Linked DNA regions of Cricetulus griseus. The protein of the gene in region 1 interacts with the protein of each later gene in a pairwise test. Links are inferred from orthologs where the notes say so. Each region holds a gene or a part of one and is shown in the gene's direction. Other genes may lie near its edges.

Evidence for each region. The genes of interacting proteins can lie anywhere in the genome.
Region 2: the proteins of Pin1 (region 1) and Thap7 interact in binary tests that used the Homo sapiens proteins (3 or more experiments, as listed by UniProt). The two-hybrid records come from large-scale screens. The link is inferred for Cricetulus griseus from reciprocal best matches to the Homo sapiens genes PIN1 and THAP7.
Region 3: the proteins of Pin1 (region 1) and Cnksr1 interact in binary tests that used the Homo sapiens proteins (3 or more experiments, as listed by UniProt). The two-hybrid records come from large-scale screens. The link is inferred for Cricetulus griseus from reciprocal best matches to the Homo sapiens genes PIN1 and CNKSR1.

What each region holds. Positions count from the first base shown.
Region 1 is NC_048597.1:133,538,082-133,542,641, forward strand, and holds part of Pin1 (peptidyl-prolyl cis-trans isomerase NIMA-interacting 1), read left to right. Parts: intron 1-995; coding exon 996-1,214; intron 1,215-4,560. UniProt on the Homo sapiens protein: Peptidyl-prolyl cis/trans isomerase (PPIase) that binds to and isomerizes specific phosphorylated Ser/Thr-Pro (pSer/Thr-Pro) motifs.
Region 2 is NC_048597.1:71,783,908-71,789,085, forward strand, and holds the start of Thap7 (THAP domain-containing protein 7), read left to right. Parts: upstream 1-2,017; intron 2,018-2,161; coding exon 2,162-2,241; exon of another isoform or gene 2,242-2,277; coding exon of another isoform or gene 2,278-2,342; intron 2,343-2,627; coding exon 2,628-2,783; intron 2,784-4,092; coding exon 4,093-4,233; intron 4,234-4,435; coding exon 4,436-4,985; 3' UTR 4,986-5,178. UniProt on the Homo sapiens protein: Chromatin-associated, histone tail-binding protein that represses transcription via recruitment of HDAC3 and nuclear hormone receptor corepressors.
Region 3 is NC_048595.1:19,071,584-19,076,863, forward strand, and holds the start of Cnksr1 (connector enhancer of kinase suppressor of ras 1), read left to right. Parts: upstream 1-2,119; 5' UTR 2,120-2,424; coding exon 2,425-2,476; intron 2,477-4,717; coding exon 4,718-4,875; intron 4,876-4,999; coding exon 5,000-5,181; intron 5,182-5,280. UniProt on the Homo sapiens protein: May function as an adapter protein or regulator of Ras signaling pathways.

The sequences.
Region 1 (4,560 bases):
CAGTAATGCTGCTTTCTTGCTCTTCAATTTAGGCCACCAGGGTAAGGATTAAGAATAAAGTTTTGGGCCTGGCAGTGGTGGCGTGCGACCTTAATCCCAGCACTCCGGAGGCAAAGGCAGGTGGATCTCTGAGTTTGAGGCCAGCCTGGTCTACAGAGCGAGTTCCGGGGCAGCCAGAGCTACACAGAGAAACCCTGTCTTGAACCCCCCCTCCTTTGAGGTATCTGCCTCTGTCTGTGCACAAGATATAGCTGCTGCTGTGAGCAGAGGTGGGAGGTGAAGCCTGGTTTGTTTGCAGTGGAGCGATGGATAGAAACCGCCATACTTACCTTTTTGGTGAATGTCTGATACTGGAACCTGAACTAGAACCTCACAAATGCCAGGCAAGCACTGTTCTATCAGTAAGCTAGATCCCAGCCCCATGGTATTTTTGTTTGGTTTGGTTTAGTTTTTCCGAGACAGGGTTTCTCTGTGTAGCTTTGGAGCCTGTTCTGGAACTCGCTCTGTAGACCAGGCTGGCCTCAAACTCAACAGAGATCCTTCTGCCTCTGCCTCTCGAGTGCTGGGATTAAAGGCATGAGCCACCAACACCTGGCTGTTTGTATATTTTTTAAATTGGATCCCATGTAGTCAACATTGCTCTCAAACTATAGCTGAGAATGTTCTTGAACTTTTGATCATGTTTATTTTGTAGGGTAGCCTGAGGACATCTTGGGGTGGGTGGGTTCTCCTTCCACTAGGCAATTCCTGGAGTTCAAACTCAGGTTCTCAGACTCTGACACATTCCTTTCCTTGCTGAGACATCCTGCAGACCTGGAAGCTGTTTTTTCTGTTTTGCTAGTTTAGTGTCTGTATCTACCTAGAATATTAGCACAGTCCTGTCTGAGACAGGTCCTGGTGGGGACAGCATCCTCCTAAGCCAGTCCTCATCCTGGCTTTCTGGATAGAGTCCTCCTCAACCCAGCCTCAGCTAAATAGGTGCTGTTCTCCCCCAGGCCGTGTATACTACTTCAATCACATCACCAACGCCAGCCAGTGGGAGCGGCCCAGTGGTGGCAGCAGTGTTGGAGGCAGTAGCAAGAATGGCCAGGGGGAGCCTGCCAGGGTGCGCTGCTCGCACCTACTGGTGAAGCACAGCCAGTCTCGGAGGCCCTCTTCCTGGCGGCAGGAAAAGATCACCAGGAGCAAGGAAGAGGCCCTGGAGCTGATCAATGGTGAGTGGGAGAGATGGGGCATTGTTGGGGGTCCTCTGGAGGGGTGTGGCTATCTTTTCCTGTTTTGTGACAAAACACCCTGACAAGGGCATCAGGAGGGTTCAGCCAGCAAAGTCAATTTCTGCTAAACCCGAGGACCTGAATTCCATTCCCAGGATACATGTGGTAGGAGGAGAGACCCTGTTCCTGGGAGTTGTTCTCTCTTGCCTCCCGAGCCCACCATGACATATGTGCTGCTGTGCTCCCCCACCCCTGCCTTCCCAACCAATAACTGCAAACTTTTAAAAAGGTTTTAAAAAATGAAGCAGCTTAAGGGAGAAAGGTTTGTTTGGGCTCACATTCCATTCCAGGTCATAGTTCCCCACAGCAAGAGAGTCAGAGTGGCATCACAACATTGTCAGGAAGAAAGAACACCGTGCCTGTGCTAGTGCTCAACTTACCTTCTCTAGTTTTCAGGCTGGGATCCCCTACCCCAGGGGATGGTCCTGCCAACAAGTGAGATGGGTCGCCCCACATCAGCTAACATAATCAAGATGGTCCCCACAGGGTTCCCAGTAGCACATCTTCCAGGTCATTCTGCCACATAGACAATAAGCACTACCCATCATGGGGGCCTTTCAGAAGTCCCACCAGACCCTCCCTCCACCCAGTCTGCTCAACTTCCAGAGAAGTGCTTGTATTGAACTGGGAATATAGCTCAGTTGTTAGCATGCTCACCCAGCTTGCAGGGAGCCCTGGCTTCAGTCTCTAGTACCCTGCACCCTGTAATCTCAGCATAGAGATAGAGTCAGAAGGATCAGAAATTCAAGCTTGGTGTTGGAAAGATGGCTCAGTGGGCAAAGGGCCTGAATTCAGTTCCTGGGACCTACACAGTTGAAGGAGAGAATCAGCTCCCTCAAGTTGTCCTCTGACCTCAGTGAAAACACTTGTCACATGAGTTTTTTTTTTTTGTTTTTTGTTTGTTTTTTTTTTATTTTAAGGATTTATTATATCAACAGTGCCTGCATGTCTGCACACCAGCAGAGGGCACCAGATCTCATTATAGATGGTTGTGAGCCACCTTGTGGTTGCTGGGAATTGAACTCAGGACCTCTGGAAGAGCACTAAGTGCTCTTAACCTCTGAGCCATCTCTCCAGCCCCTGAAAATTTTTCAAGTAGAACTCTAGGTCCTACATATTGAGCTCAAGGCCAGTCTAGGCTACTTGAAGACCTTGAAAAAAAGTGCCTATACTTGGGATGAGCTGGGCCCATGTAGGCCCCTCCCTCTTTTCCTTTCTACTTGCCACCAGGTCTAGAAAGCCAGCATACCCTAGTTAGTGGCAGTGTCTGGTAAGCTCTGTGGTCTGAGAAACTCAGAGCCTTACTCAGGACTCAATTTTCTATTCTGTTAAATGAACATTAATTTATATTTATCCCAAGGGCCACTGTAGCAGTGCATTGACAGGAGTCAGTTTTGCCCTTTAGGGAGGAGCCTGGGCATCTGGATGGTCTGGTAAGCACAGAGCTGATCTTATAGAGTGATGAGTCAGTTGTACCACAGGCAGAGGCTGGCCCCTTCCAGTTTTTCCTTTGTAATTTACAGCAAGGTTGACAGACTTTGTTATTCAATCATTCTTTCTTTGCTATAAGATTTTTTCTTTTTCAGGCTGTCTATTTTTGATAAATATATGTGTGTGTCTTTTGCCCGTATGTATATATGTGCACCATGTGTGTGCCTGGTATCAGTGGAAGGTAGAAGAAGGCATCGCATTCCCTTAAATTGGAGGTAGATTTGTGAGCTACCATGTAAGAGCAGCCAGTACTCTAAGCCATCTCTTGGGTGTGTGTGTGTTTATGTTTATGTGTATGAAAATGGCGTGTGTTCAAGTGTGGCAGTCAAAGGACAATTCTCAGGGGTGAGCTCTCACCTGCCATATGAGTCCTGTGTATTAAATTCAGATCATCTGCCTTGGCAGCAAGTGCAATCACCTGCTGAGCCATCTTGCTGGCCCTTTGTATGATTTGTTAGGATTGCTTTATGTGTATTCGTGAGTACCTACATGTATGTATATATACCACATGTATGCCTGCTACCCATGGAAGCCAGAAGAAGGCATCAGATCCCCTGGAACTAGGCAGTCATAATCTGCCATATGTGTGCCAGGACCCAAACCTAGGTCCCAGAAGAAAATTCTGTGTTGAGTTCTAAAGTCAACACAAAGGTCAAAAACCAAAACAAAAAACCAAATAATTTCTTCATCCATCATTGAACCACTGACCCGTGGTTTACTCTCCAGTCCCATGTTTGTTTGGAGACACTGGCTCACCTTGAACCCAGAACTTGTTGCAGGGGAATCAGGTAACAGTGATAGGGACAGTGCCTGCCCCAGTTGCCTGCCTTGGTCTGGAAGGTACCATCAGTTTTCCTTCTGCCCTGAGGAAACAGACTGCCCATTTTGGAAGCAGCACCTCTGCATCCCTGCTCCTTTTTCAGCACTGGTTCCTCCACAGCTGCTGGGCAACTGCCAGAAGAAACCTGAGGCCCAGCTAGTGTCATCACCGTGTCCTTGTCTGAGGCAGTCTGGCTGTGTGTGGGTAGGCCCTAGCTCCCTGTTCTGTTGCTTTGTTTCCACTTATCCAGGCCAGAATTTGGGGAGGTCCAGAATAAGAGTACATGCAGCACCCTCCCCAGGCTTCAAGGATCAGCTGTCTCCTCTGGTGGAGTGGTGCCCAGCCAGCCTGATGGCCTGTGGCTGGGTTTCTGGGCCCCTCCTGCTGGGTCTTGGGTCTTCTAGGATAGCATATCCAATGATGTTACTACCTCTTCCATAACCAGTCTCTTCCCTTATGGCCACCTGTGAACTGGGAGATGGGCAAGGGGATTGTCTAAACACTTTTAGGATGAGGAAACATCCTTTTGGTTCATTCTGTCCCTTAGTCGCTGTAACACAGTGCCACAAGCTCGGTAGCTTAGGTGACAGAAGTTTCTTTGAGTCCCAGTTCTGGAAAAGTCTATGCCCCATGCTTTTCCTCTAGATTCCCTCTCACCAGCCACCACAGACCTGTGCCTTTCTCACTTTCCCCATCAGGTTCCTGCTGAGATTGCTTTTCTTGTCTTCTGTTGTGTCCTTTGGTGCCCTGCCCCTTGGCTATCTTTGCTCGCCCCATCTGCCTCCTTTAATAATAGAACTTATGCTGCCCAGGCTGACCTTAAACTCCCTGTGTAGCCAAAGGTGACCTTGAACTTCTAACCTGTCCACCTAGCTCCTAAGTGCTGGGATTCTAGGTTTGCACTACCATCCCTAGTTTGGAAATTGATCCTAGGGCCTGGTGCAGAAAGGCGAGCACTCTGCCAGCTGAGCTAAA
Region 2 (5,178 bases), about 62 Mb from region 1:
AGGTGTTTTCTACACATAAGTACATTTCTACTCCATTTTCTGTATGTTTACAATATACCTTATCTATTTGCTAGGATAGAGTTCTTGCTCTTCTCACATGTTGGACTGTATGGGTGTGTAATGCTTTCACTGGCTCTATTTCTATTTTGACATTAGTGATTCAATCACATACAACCTTTTTTAAAAAAGATTTACTTATTTGTTATATATATAGTGTTTTGTCTGCACATATGCCTGTAGGCCAAGAGGGCACCAGATCTCATTACAGATGGTTGTGAGCCACCACGTGGTTGCTGGGAATTGAACTCAGGATCTCGACCTCTGGAAGAGCAGCCAGTGCTCTTAACCACTGAGCCATCTCTCCTGTCCCACATACAACCTTAATTTTTTGTGTGTGTGTCTGTGTGGGTGAATCTGAAACATGAAATTTTAAAAGAATGTTAAATGTTAGTTATTTTCAAAAGTATAATACTAGCTTTTACAGTTCAAAGTGGGTCCACAGTTCTCAACTTTTTAACAAACTGTCATTTATAAGGCCAATATAAACTCCACTGTATTTTCCTTTTTTCTGATAGGCAGGCATTAACTACCAGCCCCCCTTTATGGTCCCTGGGGGAGACCTGGCCAAGGAACAGCAGGCCATGTGTATGCTCAGCAAAACAACTGCCACTGAAGAGGCCTGGGCTCACCTAAATCACAAGTTCAACCTCATGCATGCCAGAGAGGCCTTTACGCACATCTATGTGACAGCAGGTGTGGAGGGGTGTTCTCTGAGGTCCAGAGGACCTGGCAGCCTCGGGGAAGGGTTATTAAGAGATGGCTGTGGATTCTGCAGAATGAGGGGGGGGAATACTGAGTGCAGCTATGTGGCTGGCAGTTATATCTTTATCTCCCCCCCTACTGTTAACATTACTTTTACTTCATACAGTACTTTAAAAACAAAACAAGACAAAAAACAAAGTTCCCTGTCTAGATAGCTGCCTTTCTTGGAAGGGCCAACTACTAAATTCCTCTGCAGCAAATACATTTGTTTTCTCTAAGACATTAATAGGCATATCTATATGCTCAGTTACTAACAAGATAAGTCAATTGGGGCAACACACATTGTTTTAAATTGAAGAATGAAGTCCCTCACACCGCGTGTGAACGCAGCTGGGGTTCCACCCAAGCTGTAGAAACCTAGGTTTCTACATTAGCTTTCCTCCTCGGCTGGCAAATGTTTATGTCCCCAGATTGCACTCAGTTTTGAGCACTGGTTTAAAGACCTTGATCTAAAATGGACCCTCCAGGACTGCTAATGTCACAAAGTAGATGCTAGAAAGAGATCCTGTTGCCTGGCCCAGCTGGGAGTGCCAGGTTTCTCCTGAGACAGCGGTAAAATCCCAGTGGGCTCAGACCCTCCTGGCCGTGTTTGCAGTCCCTCTGCTGACGCAGTTAATTCCGTTACTTTAAGAACTCTTTTTTGTCTTTACGTTTTATCTTGTGCATACGCATGCATGCACACGTGCGATATGTGGGGGTCAGAGGACAACTAGTGGGCATTGGTTCTTCCCTTCTAACCATGGCGGGCAGGGAAATCAAACTCGGATCCTCAGGGTTGGCAGAAAGTGCCGAGTCACCCAGGGCCCTTGGCGGGGTTCTTTCAGGCAAGAGCCCAGATTTTTCTTGGTGGTGAATCTTCTTTCAACCAGAGTGTCAGGGAGCACTACAGATCGCACCGGGGCTGCTTAGTCCTAACGGCGAGCGCTCGGTAGTCACCCTGGATACACAAACAAAACAAGGGAGCGAGGACACGGCCGCTCCGGGGATCTCAAGCACCTCAGCGGCAACGATCGGCCCGCACTCCCAACATCCGGTGGCCGGCCCGCCAGGATCTCTTCCGGTCCCGCCCCTTGAGGGCAGTCGCAGCCCGCTACGGAGTCCCTACGCTCCCAACTTCCGCATTGACCCACCCATCGCGAGACTTTGGCGGCGCAGCAATGGCAAGACCGTGAGTACCGCTGACGGGAGTCTATAGAACGAGTTAGGACGGGATTGGGACGAGGTCGGGCCGCGGGGGAGCCGGCAGGTTCAGGCCCTCTGGAGGGAGTGGCGGCGGGGCGTGAAGGCAGTCCCCTCCCCCCGGCTGCCGCCCACGACCCAGCTCCCACCCCTTCCCCAGATGCCGCGACACTGCTCCGCCGCCGGCTGCTGCACACGGGATACGCGCGAGACTCGCAACCGCGGCATCTCCTTCCACAGGTCAGCGCGCGTGCGTAGTGGCACGCGAGGGCTCACATGCGCAGGCGCTGGTGTTGCTGCACTTTAGGCCGCGCAGGAGACAGCGCCTTCCTGAGGTCGAAGTGAGGCTTGAACTTTGTGAGCGGGAGGGTGAAGGGCGGTCGAGGAGTCCCGAATCCAGCCGAAAAGGACTGGGCGCTTTCTTGCCTTGGACTTGGAGCTCTAACTCTTTGCTGCTAGGTGATGCTAAGCAGGCCCTGTTCCTTCCTTCTCTCGTCCTCAGTTTACTCCTAGCGGGTGGTAATCCGAAAGGGTCGCGGGGAGGTCTGCCCCTCTTGCCTGGGGAGCTTGGGCATCCTGATCGCGGGCTGCAGCAGTCTGGTGCTCACGGTTTTGTGGCTCTGCAGACTTCCCAAGAAAGACAACCCCAGGCGCGGCTTGTGGCTGGCCAACTGTCAGCGGCTGGACCCCAGCGGCCAGGGCCTGTGGGACCCGGCCTCTGAGTACATCTACTTCTGCTCCAAACACTTCGAGGAAAACTGCTTTGAGCTGGTGGGAATCAGGTGGGTTTTTCTGCCAGATGACACTTGAACAGGTGGTGAGGCATCAGAGCAGTGAGTGTGGCAAGTGGGGCGGCTCTGTGCCCTGGTGAAGCCCATGAACGGCTGGCTGGCACGCTCACAGACAGGCACACCTATGTCGAGGGTGCTGTGACCTCTTCCCAGTTGTGTGCAGTAAAGCATGGCCCCAGGATTACCATGCCAGTAGCATCCGAGAATAACAGCCTTTCCCGGCTGGGAAGACAGTTTTCCCAGGTCTGGAGAAGACAAAACTAAAAGATACCAGGGCTCCTGCCAGCTAGCTAGTCTAGATGAGTTGTTGAGACCTGTGTTCAAGGGGACACTGTCATTCATAGATAGATAGATAGATAGATAGATAGATAGATAGATAGATAGATAGATAGAAAAAATGTGGGTGAGCTGGAGAGATGGCTTAACAATGTAGAGCACTTGTTACTCTTCTAGAGAACCAGGGTTCAATTCCCAGCACCAAGGGATATCCCTTGCCTTCTTCGTACTTCTAAGGGCCCTGGCACACAGGTGGTACATACACATTGTACATGTAGGCAAAACATTCATACTCATAAATAGGGCTGGTGAGATGGCTCAGAGGTTAAGAGGCTTCAAGCTGTCACTGGTGTCACCTTTAAACCCAGCACTCTGGAGGCAGAGGCAGGCGGATCTGTGAGTTTGAGGCCAGCCTGGTCTACAGAGTGAGTTCCAGGACAGGCTCCAAAGCTACACAGAGAGACCATGTCTTGAAAAACAAAAAAGATACTGGTTTCTTCCAGACGACTTGGGTTCATTTGCCATCATCCACATGGTGGCTCACAAGCCAGTAAACTCTAGTTCCAGGGATCTAGTGCTCTTTCTGACTTCTGTGGGTACCAGGCATGTGGATAGTCATATGTACAGGCAAAGCACCCATACACATAAATGTTTTTAAGGAGAAAAAAGAAATCTTTAAAAACAGGTGGAGAATAATTTTAAGAAGGCCTCTGATATCCACACAAAAGTAAAATAGCTTTTCTCTGGGGTATTTGGCCCCTAGTTCTTCCAGCAGGCCCACAAATGAGAGACTTCTGACTAGTCCACCTAGCCGTGCGGGGGTGGGGAGGCGTTGTCCATTCACTTCAAGTCTGGATGCTCATTCACAGGGCAGACTAGTTGGATTCTACCAAACTTGGCATTCTTCAGATTATTGGCAGTGTGCCATGAAGCCCATAGCCCTAGTGCTGAGGGGAGCTATGTTGGGACCAGGGGAAGTGGCAGCACTTTATTTCCACCTCATCTGGGCTGCTTTTCCCCACAGTGGGTATCACAGGCTGAAGGAAGGGGCAGTCCCCACCATATTTGAGTCTTTCTCCAAGTTACGTCGAACAACCAAGACCAAGGGGCATGGTTATCCACCTGGCCTGCCTGATGTCAGCCGGCTCCGGCGATGCAGGAAGCGGTATGTGCTGAAGGAGGGAGATGCCCCACCCTCCCCCCAGGGCTGAGGGACTGAACTGTAGGGTGAGTGCCAGCATCTTCACTGAACAGGGTTCTTGCTGCCTGGACCCAGTGAAGGGGCTCAGGTGTTAGGGAGTGTAAGTGGGTGTATGAGGGTCCTGGCATGCTCTTAGTTGGCTAGTCAGTTTCTGTCTCCCCTCCAGCTGCTCTGAAGGTCAAGGACCCACAACCCTGTTTTCTCCACCTCCTGCTGACATCATCTGCTTCCCTGTGGAAGAAGCCTCAGCGCCTGCCACTCTGCCTGCATCCCCAGCTGTGAGGCTGGAACCTGGCCTTAACAGCCCCTTCTCAGATCTTCTGGGCCCGGTAGGTGCCCAAGCAGAGGAAGCAGGCTGTAGTGCCCAGCCTTCACCAGAGCAGCACCCCTCCCCTCTTGAGCCACGGCCTATCTCCCCATCTGCTTACATGTTGCGGCTGCCACCACCTGCTGGAGCCTACATCCAGAATGAGCACAGCTACCAAGTGGGGAGTGCCTTGCTCTGGAAGAGGAGAGCTGAAGCAGCTCTTGATGCTCTGGACAAGGCCCAGCGCCAGCTGCAGGCCTGCAAACGTAGGGAACAGCGGCTTAGACTTCGACTGACCAAGCTGCAGCAGGAACGGGCACGAGAGAAGAGGGCACAGGCAGATGCCCGCCAGACCCTGAAGGACCATGTACAGGACTTCGCTTTGCAGCTGAGCAATAGCATGGCATGAGGACACCCAAGGCTCTGGTCTCTCTTCCTCAGAGGTATTTGATTGGAACTACATCCACCAGGCTGACCGGAAGTCACAATAAAGTGGATGCTAGAAAGAGACCTTGCTGTTTGGCTCAGCTGGGGGGTGCCAGACTCCTCCCTAGACAATGGCCAAAGCCTCAGAGGGATCAGGCCCTGACATGCACCCTCCT
Region 3 (5,280 bases), on another chromosome or scaffold:
GTCCAGGGTGTCCAGTTTAGCTCAAAAGGCTTGGTAGCAAATGCCTTTACCCACAGAGCCATTTTGACAGCCTTTATAATATATTAAGAGATTAACTTAAAAATAGTCTCTGTGTCATTGTTCCAAGCAATTTCTGTGTATTTTGTTATCTCTTTCAGTTTTTTCTTTTTTCTTTTTTGAGACAGGCTCTCGCTACATAATCCTGGCCATCCTGGAACTCATTAGGTAGACCAGGCTAGCCTTGAACTCACAGAGATTCCTCTGCCTCACAAGTGCTGGGATTAAAGGCAAGTGCCACCACACTTGGCTTTTTGTTCTTTGTGAAAATGACAAAAAGGATGATTTTCAGAATATTGTGCAGAATATATAAAGGATGAGAGGGCCCAGAGTATAGCACAGTGACTGAGAGTCTTTAATCCCAGCACTTGGGAGGCAGAGGCAGGCAGATTTCTGTGAGTTCGAGGCCACTCTGGTCTACATAGCTAGTTCCAGGACAGCCAGGGCTACACAGAGAAACCCTATCTGGAAAACCGAAAAAATAAAAAAGTTTTATTGAGAGTATCTAAATGGTCTGTCTACATAATCCTGGCTGTCCTGAAACTCACAATGTAGACCAGGCTGGCCTCAGACTCATAGAGTCTGCCTACCTTTGCCTCCCAAGTGCTGGAATTAAAGGTGTAATCCTAAAAATTATTCTGTGCTTTTTTGGGGGGTGGGTAGGGTGGGGTGTTTTGAGACAGGGTTTCTATGTGGCTTTGGAGCCTATCCTGGAACTAGCTCTTGTAGACCAGGCTGGCCTTGAACTCACAGAGATCCGCTTGCCTCTGACTCCTGAGTGCTGGGATTAAAGGTGTGTGCCACCCCTGCCCGGCTATTCTATGCTTTTTAAAAAATGGGGTTTTTTTGGGGGGGAGGGTGTTTGCCTGTATGTGTGTGTATCATGTGTATGCAACTTCTGAGGAGACCAGAAGAGGGCATCAGATCCCCTGGAACTGGAGTTACAGATGGTTGAGTCAATATGTAGGCCCTAGGAATTGAACTGGGGTTTTCTGCAAGAGCAGCCAGCTCTTGACTGCTGAGTCATCTCTCCTGCCCCAGCTGTGCTGTGCTTTAAGCATTATTCTAGCTGGCTCTGTGATACAAACTGTGGTCCCTGCTGTTTTGGGAAGCTATGGCAGGAGAATCACTTGAATTCGTGATTTGGAGAATAGTCTGAGCAACATAGCAAAAATAAAAAGCATCTCAAAAAGTGTAGCAAGAAGCCAGGCGATGGTGGCACACTCCTTTAACCCCAGCACCTGGGAGGCAGAGGCAGGTGGATCACTGAGTTTGAGGACAGCTTGGTCTACAGAGCTGGTTCCAGGACAGGCTCCAAAGCTACACAGAGAAACCCTGCCTTGAAAAAGAAAACAAGAAATTGTAGCAAGAATAAGAAATGCATTCAGAAGACAGCTAATGTGTCTGCCAGTGTCTCTCCAGGGGAATGATTGGTATGTTTCCTCTTCATTGGTAATCAATAAAGGCTCTTTGTGCCCTAAAATAATAACTGAATTAATGAGAAGTTTTACTTTGAGAAAGGGTCTTTAATTCTCAACAGACTGTCAAAGGATGCAAAATAAGGAGGCAGAGAGTCCCATGCTGAAGGTTTTTATTTACTTAGTTTCTGCTGTTTCATTTTTGTGTTTTTGAAAGGGGCTCACCCTGTAGCCCAGGTCATCCTTCAACTTGGAGCCATTCACACTGCCTCAGCCTCCAGAGTCCTGAGATTACAAGCAGAATCACCATGACCCCCTGTTCTAAACATTTAAAGCCATTTGCTCGGATACTCACAGATGTCCCATGAATCAAGGACAGTTGTGCCCTAGAAGTGAGCACCAGGTCAGCTGCCTGTGCAACAACTCCAGACGGCAATAACATATCACGGGGACCCCGGGGTGGAGGACTAGCGATGCGCTGTTGTGCACCAACCATACACCAGGTTCACTTGTGTAGGTGCTGAGAAGTCAGAATCCCAGGCTGAGATTAAGGGGCCAGTTTTTTGTTTTGTTGTTTTAGACAAAGCCTCCTTACACAGCCAGCCCTGTCTAGCCTGGAACTCAGCTGTGTAGACTCGGCTAACGTCAAATTCACAGGGATCCTCCTGGTGAAGCCAGTTTTGGACTGCATCTCATGCCATTTCCGGACTGTCCGAGTCACACCCCCGTGGCGTCAGCCCTGGAGCTAGCTGCCAAAGTCCTAGGATGCTAAAGGGGCAGGGCAGGCGGAAGACAGACGGTGGGCCAATGGCAGTCGCCGTCCCTCACCTGGGTGGCCACGTGGGCCCAGGTATGCGGCGGCCCCGCCCTGGCCCAGCCCGGCGGGCTCGGGGCTGGATCTGGGAGCGGAAATTCCTGCAGGGGCCGGACACTGCGGGCGGAGCTCAGCATGGAGCCCGTGGAGGCCTGGACCCCAGCGAAGGTGGCAGCTTGGCTGAGAGGTTGGTGAGCCGGGGGCAGAGGTGGACTTGAAGGGAAGAGTGTGGTGTCCCTTTGGCAGAAAGTAAGGAGGGAGAAAGGAGAAAGAACCTGCCGCCGAGTCTATTAGTCAACAGGTATTTATAGAGCGTCTGCTGTCTGCCATGTACCAGTGACCAGGGTCCTCCGAATAGGCACCGCGTTGACGGAGACAGGCCAGGAGCCGTCAGAGGCACTAAGACGCAAGAAGGGGTCTTTCTGTATGTGTGTGTTCAAGCGCCCGCCAGGGCGGCGACAGGCAGGTGCAGTACTAAACTAAAGACAGGGTGGCCCTTGTGGCCCACGCCCCCTTTATCTCCGTCATCTTCCCTGTGCCCCAGGGCCCTGTGAGCTGTTTATTAAGCCCATTTTTCGAAAGTACAAACATGCACACAGCCAGGAAGTGATTTGTTCAGTCTTGGAACTGGTCAGGCCCTGGTGTCCTTTTCCCCTCTCCTCAGCCTGAGATTGACAGTGAGAGAAGCAGAACCCGCCGCCGTTCTCAAGGGGTGAAGATCACTCCCCAGGCGACCAAGAGATACAAACACAGGCAGACTCAGAGAAATGAAGGCCATTGTGGCTGCAGCGGCCAGTGGGGAGGCCAGCCATTGCTCTCATGGGCAGTTGGAGCTTGCTGGAGGCCTTTTCAGTGTGAGCAGCCCAGTAGAACTGCAATCACACTCCCAGACCGGGGCCCCAGCCAGCACTAATACTCACCAGGTCTGTGACCACAGGTCTCAGCTTCTCTACTCATGAACTAGACAAAAACGTGACCATGGTTGTGACTGGCAATGTGTAGCTCAATTTTAGTGTGTTCGGGGAGAGAGGGAGTCAACCCAACACATTCAACATGGGAAGGAAGTGGTCCAAATAACCCTGGCTTATTGAGCTCTTAGTCAGGACTCTTAATGCTACAGGAGGAATGAGGAACACCTAATGACTACACACATTCCCCAGTGAGTCGGGCCTGGTGGGATGGGAGGCTTTCTTCCAAAGCATGAGCAAGCCACTGTCTCTCCCTCTTTTGGTTTTTGCAGTTGTGTATCAGGGATGATGTGTAGCCCCCAACTTCTAGGAATGCCATTGTGGGTAAAGTTCATTTTATTTTTCTGTTTTTGAGACAGGGTTTATTTCTCTGTGTAGCTCCAGCTCTCTTGAAACTCACTCTGTAGACCAGGCTGACCTTGAACTCTGGGATCCCCCTGTCTCTGCATCCAAGTACTGGCATTAAAGACTTGTGCCGCCACACTTGACTGTGGGTAAAGTTCTTAAAGCATTGCCTCACATAAAGTACGGTCACAGTAGACAGCCTGGCAACAATGTGATAGCTGTTACTTCCTGACTATGAACCAAGTGTTTGGCACACATGAATTAATTTTCTAAAACACATGATTAGAAGGCAGGTGCTTTCGATGTCCCCATTTTATTTATTTTTAAATTTTTATTTACTTTATGAGTGTTTTGCCTGCATGTTTGTATGAGCTACCATGTGGGTGCTAGGAACTGAACCAGGGTCCTCTGTAAGAACAGTAAGTGCTCTTAACCAATGAGCTATCTCTCCTGGGTTTTTCTTTTCTTTTTGTTTTTTTGGGTTTTTTTTTTTTTTTTTTTTTTTTTTTTTTTTTTTTTTTTTTTTGAGACAGGGTTTCTCTGTGGAACAGCCTTGGCGGTCCTGGAACCAGCTCTGTAAACCAAGCTAGCCTTGAACTCACAGAGATCCACCTCCCTCTGCCTCTTGGGAGTGCTGGGACTAAAGTCGTGTGCCACCACTGCCCTGCTCCATCTCTCCTGTTTTATAAGTGAAGAAATTTAAGCACAGAACTAGTAAATATCTTAAGTGTTAGGTCCTGCTCGGGTCCCCCTGACTCCAGGTGGTTGGGCTATGAGTCCTAGGAAAACAAGCTTAGGCCCTCTGCAAGAGCAGTGTGTGTTGTTCTTAGCCACTGAAGCAACTCGCTAGCCTCTTTTTTTTGTTTTTTTGATAACTGGATTGCAAGGTATTCGAGCACGAATTTGGTGGATGGCAATGTCAGTAGGCTGGATACACTTGCCAGAGTCGCTGCTGTGTATGGTTCTCCACTCAGTAGCATCAGCTGCAAGACAGGCAGAATCCAGCCAGGTCTCGGGGTTGTCATTGGGGACAGGTGGGAGGGGGAGGGCTCTGATATAATGAAGACTCAGAACGGTAATGACACCTGTTTCCCGACGCTGACCCCTTGCTCCAGGCCTTGATGATTCACTGCAGGACTACCCCTTCGAAGACTGGGAGCTGCCTGGAAAGTACCTGCTGCAGCTCTGTCCCCAGAGCCTCGAGGCTCTGACTGTGTGGCCTTTGGGCCACCAGGAGCTCATTTTAGAAGGGGTGGAACAGCTCCGGGCCCTGGTGAGTAAGCACTGGCCACATGGCCATAGCATCTGCCACACTGGTTGTAGCACCCACCAGTCTAGGGGTTTGCCCGTGTGGGCTGGCTGTTGAGGGGGCAATAATATGCCCGTTCTTGATGCAGGGCTCCAAGCTACAGACAGAGAATCTGCAGAGCCTGGCTCAGGGGCTGCTGGAAAGGACCCAGGCGTTCCAAAGCTTGGTCCATGGCCGTCTGGGAGACTGTGCTGAGACTCCTGCCGATGTCCTTGCTGCTGCTGTAGAGCTGGTGCGGGAGGCCCATGCCCTCCTCTCCTGGCTCAACAGGTACCAGGGATGGGGTAACAAAGTGACTCTTCTTATCCCTGGTCTCCTCCAGGGCCTGGGAGAGAATAACTGTCCTTGACTCTTGATATGTCAGAGCAA